2 linked regions of the Cricetulus griseus genome follow. The protein of the gene in region 1 interacts with the protein of each later gene in a biochemical or structural test. Links are inferred from orthologs where the notes say so. Each region holds a gene or a part of one and is shown in the gene's direction. Other genes may lie near its edges.

What was found. The genes of interacting proteins can lie anywhere in the genome.
Region 2: the proteins of importin subunit alpha-5 (region 1) and Pkm form a complex in vitro, tested with the Homo sapiens proteins (2 studies listed by BioGRID). The link is inferred for Cricetulus griseus from reciprocal best matches to the Homo sapiens genes KPNA1 and PKM.

The regions. Positions count from the first base shown.
Region 1 is NC_048597.1:53,645,393-53,648,892, reverse strand, and holds part of importin subunit alpha-5, read left to right. Parts: intron 1-2,211; coding exon 2,212-2,337; intron 2,338-3,500. UniProt on the Homo sapiens protein: Functions in nuclear protein import as an adapter protein for nuclear receptor KPNB1. Binds specifically and directly to substrates containing either a simple or bipartite NLS motif.
Region 2 is NC_048597.1:171,214,744-171,218,243, forward strand, and holds part of Pkm (pyruvate kinase PKM), read left to right. Parts: intron 1-1,372; coding exon 1,373-1,504; intron 1,505-2,012; coding exon 2,013-2,199; intron 2,200-3,323; coding exon 3,324-3,500. UniProt on the Homo sapiens protein: Catalyzes the final rate-limiting step of glycolysis by mediating the transfer of a phosphoryl group from phosphoenolpyruvate (PEP) to ADP, generating ATP.

The DNA.
Region 1 (3,500 bases):
TTTATTCAGTAGTGAAAGTATAAAATCCGCCATGAAGCTCCACAGCTTCAGAATGGCTGCCCTAACTGTATAGAGGTTCACTAAGATGTATAGACTTCAAATCTGGTTGCTTTTGGTGTATGATGTTTATATTATTTGCAATTTTTTTTAATAATGAAAGTTTATAAAATAAACTCTTAACATTTGTGACAAAATTGTTTTTAGAAAGTTCTATTTACTTTTTTGATTTTCTGTCATATAAGGGCAGAATATTTGTCCCCACTGGCTCTTCAGCCTTTTGCCACATTGGAGATGCAGTAAGAAGGTCTCTTACACCAGGTATTGGTGCTGTAACTGGATTTTCCAGCCTCCAGAACTGGGGGAACTAAATCTCTGCCGCCTCCTCCTCGTCCTCCTCGTCCTCCCCCTCCTTCTCGTCCTCCTCCTTAAATAAACAACACTTTTAGCTTGTAGTTTAGTAGGTAACACGTGGCTTTGTTTTAGTTTTCATTTATTTTATTGTGAAGAATTTTTAATTTTTTCTTTTTAATTTACATAATTAAGATAAACATTTACTCTAGTGTTTTTTGTGTGTGTGGTTTTTTTTTTTTTTTGGTTTTTCCAGACAGGATTTCTCTGTGGCTTTGGAGGCTGTCCTGGAACTAGCTCCTATAGACCAGGGTGGTCTCGAACTCACAGAGATCTGCCTGCTTCTGCCTCCTGAGTGCTGGGATTAAAGGCGTGCGCCACCAACGTCCAGCTTATTCTAGTTTTTTAACATATATTTCATGTATTTTCTTAAATTTATTTTTATTTCATGTGCATTGGTGTTTTGCCTGCATATATATCTGTGTGAGGGTTTGGAGATCTGCCTAAAATTGGAGTAATGAACAGTTGTGAGCTGCCTGGTGGGGTCCTCTGGAAGATGAGCCAGTGCTCTTAACTGCTGAGCTGTGTTTCCAGTCCCGTGCGGGGGCCGCGCCCCCCCCCCCCCCCCCCCCGTGTGTGGTTGTGTGTGTGTGTGTGTGTGTGTGTGTGTGTGTGTGTGTGTGTGTGTGTGTGTGTGTGTGTGTGTGTGTGTGTGTTTCATTTTTTTTGAGACAAGGTTTCCTGTGTGACAGCTGTGGCTATCCTGGAACTCACTCTGTAGACCAAGCTGGCCTCCAACTCACAGAGATCCGCCTGCCTCTGCCTTCCAAGTGCTGGGATTAAAGTCGTGTGCCACCATACTTGGCCCCTATTTGTAGTTGGCTTTTAAAGATTTATTCATTTTATTTTATGTGTGAGTCTTTTGTGTGCATGTGTATATGTGTACAACATGTAAGCTGGGTGCCTATGACGACCAGAGGAAGGCATCAGATCCCCTAGAACTGGAGTTGAGGATGGTTGTGAACCACTATGTGGGTGCTGGAATTGAACCTGGGTCCTCTGCAAGAGCATCAAGCGCTCTTAACCACTGAGCCACCATCTCTCCAGACCATAGTATATTTTTTAATACTAATGTCATTGTAGTTGTGTATTATGGGTTTTGTTCTGTTTGTTTTCTCAAGAGCAGAGTATGACTGAATCTATCAAACTGTGCTTATATTCAAGATCTTCTCATGTTTGACTCCCAAGTGCTTGATTATGTACCACCACACATCCCAGTGCTTGTGAATGTACACAGTGAAACCAGATTCATAGTCTTTAATGTATTTCAGACTAGTACTAAATAGTTTTTAAAGGACTGAAACGTTGTCCCAAATGGTAAAAGCACTTGTCACCAAGCCTGATAGCCTAAGTTTGATTCCTAGGACACATGGTGGAAGGAGAGAACCAACTCCAGCAAATTTTTCTCTGATTTCATGTGTACTATGGTATGCTCAAGTCCAAACACATACATCTTCCCCATGAATAAAGCTATTTTTTTTTTTTTTTTAGAATTCCAGAGTTTTTCTTCTACATTTGTAGTAAAATAAGTTTGTTTTAGGTTTTTTTGTTTGTTTTGTTTTTGAGACAGGGTTTCTCTGTTTTTGAGACAAAAATAAGTTGAGTGAAAAATGCACTTATTACTACCTCTTGGGAGGTGGACAGAAGATGATCCAGGATTTCAAGCTCATCTTCCAGGATGCACTGAGTCCAGCCTGTGCTGTATAAGACCTTTCCTCAACAGAAAAACCAACAAAAATCCAAAACCAAATGATATTTGAAACTATACCGTAAGTAAAACTTAAATTTTTTTTTTTCTTTCAGGTAATTTTGAACTGCTCAGCTCTTCAGAGTTTATTGCATTTGCTGAGTAGCCCAAAGGAATCTATCAAAAAGGAAGCATGTTGGACAATATCTAATATTACAGCTGGAAATAGGGCACAGATCCAGGTAATGCCTTTTTATCCCTGTGTGTGAGATACATTTTCAGAAGATTTTATTTATTTTTATTTATGTGTATGTGCCTGTTTAACTGTGTGTATTATGTGCATGCGGTGCCCTTGGAGACCAGAGGAGGAGGGTATTGGATCTCCTAGAATTGGAGTTATAGGCAGTTGTGAGCCTTCTGTAAGTGCTGGGTATTGAACCTGGATCCTCTGAAAGAGCAGTAAACACCTGAGCTGTCTTCTCCAACCCCTTTTCTATCCTTTCAGTAATAGGTGAAGTTATTTTGGTCAGCCTTTAAAATACAGCCTTCCTTATTTCTTCTAAAACTACCAACGACCAGTGTCAATATATCAGTCTAAGATTATTTTCTTCTAATGTTAGTTTTTGATACTTAGACGATGTATTTTCTTTTTACCTTTTAAGTTTGCTGATTTTACCAAAGATCAAAAAAAAAAAACCTTTGTGTTTTCAGAATGTTTTGGTGGACTATATGCTAAATAAGTTGGCTTTACTTCGTATTAAATTATATTTTCCAGTGAACCCATGTGTTGGGTTGTGTAAATTTTTCATGGACTATTGAAGGCCTTTTTTGTTGTTTGAGACAGGACCTCATTTTGTTGTAACCCCAGCTGGCCTGAAACATACTGTTTAGACTAGACTGTCCTTAGAACTCAAAGAGATCTTTACCTCTTGAGTGCCAGGATTAAACATGTATGCCATCAGGCCCAGGAGGATGTTTTCTTTAACTATGCCCCTTTGGAGAATTTCTCTCTCTCTCTCTCTCTCTCTCTCTCTCTCTCTCTCTCTCTCTCTTCTCTCTCTCTCTCTCTCTCTCTCTCTCTCCTCCCTCCTCCCTCCCTCCCTCCCTCCCTCTGTCTCTCCCTCTGTCTCTCCCCCTCCCCCTCTCCCTCTCTGTCTCTATTTTGATTTTATTTATTATCTATACAATGTTCTGCCTGCATGTATGCCTGCAGGCCAGAAGAGGGCACCAGATCTCATTATAGATGGTTGTGAGCCAACACATGGTTGCTGGGAATTGAACCCAGGACCTCTAGAAGAGCAGTCAGTGCTCTTTACCTCTGAGCCATCTCTCCAGCCCTATTTCTTTTGGATAGAGGAAATTGTACTAACCTGTGTTAGGTTCCTGGGCTAGTTTCAAGCTTGAA
Region 2 (3,500 bases), about 120 Mb from region 1:
ATTCCCTCCCTCTGACAGGAACATCTACCAGCTGCATCTGATCCTTTCCCATCCTTGGCAGTCTTGTAATTACACCTCTTGCTGGTCACATGGGCAAGATGAGTATTCTTGCTGAACAGGCAATGCTGTACTGACTTTTAAATGGCCTAAATTTAGAGCCTCTACAAGGATGGCACTCATGGATTCCAGTCTTCGTTCACCATTTGGTAATGCGCCAGCAAAGCCATAGCTGTGACAGAAGACACGATCTACCTTCCAAAAGTGTACCATAGGTTGGCCATACAAAGAATTTTAATAATGGGCCACCCAGTGTTCTAACCTTTGGGATTATAATGCAGTTTTATATACACGGTGCCAAATATGTGTTTGTTTAGAGCACTTGTGAATGGGCTGAGGTGTGTAGCTCAGCAAGAACAAATCCCTGGGTTCAAACCTCACACATACTTATAAAGATACATTAGGCCAGAGGGAAGGATTTTAACTCCTATAAAGTAGAAATTATTCAGCTGTAATTCTTCTATGGGAATTAAGGGCAACCTCCAAAAAAAAAACTATTATGAGTACCTCTCTAAAATGAATCAAGCAGTCAGTAGTTACTGTCAGAAAAGATTAGCTCTCAGGCCGCCTGTGGATGAAGGACAGATTCAGGCTTCCAGGTGTCTTAACTGGGCACAGTGGTTAAAAGACAAAGCCCTTAAAATGATGAATTATATATATGTCCTGTGATCAGTGGCGTCACACAGATCTGCACTATCCACAGATTCTATAGCTGTCTTGGCTCTGACTCCCAGGTAGAAAAAGGAAAAGGCCTTTGGGGGTACTATTGCAAGTGAAGTATAGTGAACGGTAGTTCTATCAGAGATAGGCCACTAATCACCGGTTCCTCTCCTTTTCTAATCAGACCTAAGAAAGTGATTGTGAAAGGAGGTGTCTGCATATGACCAAGCAATGAGCTGTTTAGCTTGGACCATTGTTACCTTAAGTCAACAACTTTGGGTTTGAATTGACTTTGGGATCGATAGTGGAAACAGACTGCCAGGGCAGACTTCAAACACAAATCCTGGGTCCTTTACCTGCCCCAGTTGTTAGGCATCTTTGAGTCCTAGGGATACTAGGACAACTGAAGGGACACATAGCTGCTTTAAGAGTAGGGCTTTAGTGACAGTGTTTCAGAATGTTCTTGGGATTTGCTATTGGAGTTAGTTCTGTGGTGGGGAGAATGGATGCTGATGAGATTAGTGGGTTGGGGATGAGGATGGAATTCAGACCCTTTTCTTTCATAAGTGATTGGTCAACTTTGGCTCACAGGTAGGGAATGGGAACTGAAGTCAGGTGTGGGGCACCTGTCAGTCAATCTCCCTTCTTTCCCCAGTATCACGCAGAGACTATCAAGAATGTGCGAACAGCCACAGAAAGCTTTGCATCTGACCCCATCCTCTACCGGCCTGTTGCTGTGGCTCTGGACACAAAGGGACCTGAGATCAGGACTGGACTCATCAAAGGCGTGAGTATCCTAGGAAGTGCTCTGAGGGCAGGCAAACCCTCCCTCCCTGGTAGCTTTCTCTAGTTTCTGACTGGGTAAGTTTTAGAGTTAAAGTCTACCAATGATAGTGTTTTTATTAATGCATATGGGTGTGGGTGGTTTTTTTGTGTGGCTATGCACCACATGTATGCTGTGCACTGCAGTTATGGATGTCTATGAGACCCACCATATGGGTGCTGGGAATCAACCTAGATCTTCTGCATGAACAGTAAGTGCTCTAAACCACTGCACCATCTCCAGTCCCGGCATGAAAATGTTTTTTGTCATTGCTCTTTTCATCTGCATAGCTAGGAAACATGGGGGTTGGTCCTTAATTTTTTTTTAACTACTTAAGTCTCAATGGTGAACGGAGCTTAGAATTTCTTCAAAGGAAGAAGGTTGCTTAGTACTCCGAACCAGGGTTTGAGCATCCCCATTAGGGGTGTGGCTTCTGCAGTTCACACACCCACGGGCTGTCTTGAATCTACAGAGCGGCACTGCAGAAGTAGAGCTGAAGAAGGGAGCCACCCTGAAGATCACCCTGGACAACGCCTACATGGAGAAGTGTGATGAGAACATCCTGTGGCTGGACTATAAGAACATCTGTAAGGTGGTGGAGGTGGGCAGCAAGATCTACGTGGATGACGGGCTCATTTCACTGCAGGTGAAGGAGAAAGGTATGCATGGCGCATGGTCCATCGCCAATTCCCATCTCCAGCGCTCTCAAGTTGAATCTTTTTTTTAAGATTTTATTTATTTATTACGTATACAACATTCTGCTTCCATGTTTATCTGCACATCGGAAGAGGGCACCAGATCTCATAACAGATGGTTGTGAGCCACCATGTGGTTGCTGGGAATTGAACTCAGGACCTTTGGAAAGGAGTCAGTACTCTTAACCTCTGAGTCATCTCTCCAGCCCCCAAGTTGAATCTATTTTAACTCCTTTTGGTATAGCACTCGCCTGCATGTATAGGGCCTGGGTTCAATCTCCAGAGGATCAGAAGTTTAAAAAAAAAAAAAACAAAAAAAACAAAAAAAAACTCCCCAAAGGGCCAGGAGGGTGGGGCGAGCCTTTAGTGTTTAGTCCTAACACTTGGGAGTCAATGGCAGGTGGGTCTCTCAATATGGCATGTAGAATATTTCTATGTGCCTTTGAAGTTTTTGTTATGTGCACAGTGTTCTGCCTGAATGTCCACCTGCATGATGGAAGAGGGCACCAAATCTCATTACAGATGGTTGTGAGCCACCATGTGGTTGATGGCAATTGAACTCAGGATCTCTGTAATAGCAACCAGTCAGTTCTCTTAACCTCTGAGCAATCTCTCCAGTCCCTCCTGTGTGCCTTTGAATGCCAGTTAAATCTTACCTGTTTAAATGGTTTATGTGTTCGTTTCATTTTGGTTTTACGAGAGGGTTTTTTTGTTGCCTGTGCTGGGCTTTACTATGTAACTGAGGCCGAATGAGGCTGATTCACTAGCTTAGCTATTTATTTTGAGACAAGGTCTCACTTTGTAGCGCTGGCTGACATCACTGTGTAGATCACCTTAGTCTTGAACACAGATTTTTCTGCATCTGCATCTTGAGTGTTGGGGTAATTAACCTGTGCTACCACACCCAAAATTCAAAACATCTTCGCAACTTGTACATGGGTATTGTTTATAGTTGCGGAAACTGACAGTGTCAAATTGACTCAGCCTGAGGTCTTGTAATCTGGCTTTCACGTGGCTCTAGTTGCCTCAGTGATGTGACCTCCTGCAAGAAGAGGCAGGTCCTCATCACTGATCCTTCACTTACACAGGTGCTGACTACCTGGTGACAGAGGTGGAGAACGGTGGCTCCTTGGGCAGCAAGAAGGGGGTGAACCTCCCCGGAGCTGCTGTGGATCTCCCTGCTGTGTCAGAAAAGGACATTCAGGACCTGAAGTTTGGAGTGGAGCAGGGTGTAGACATGGTGTTTGCCTCTTTCATCCGCAAGG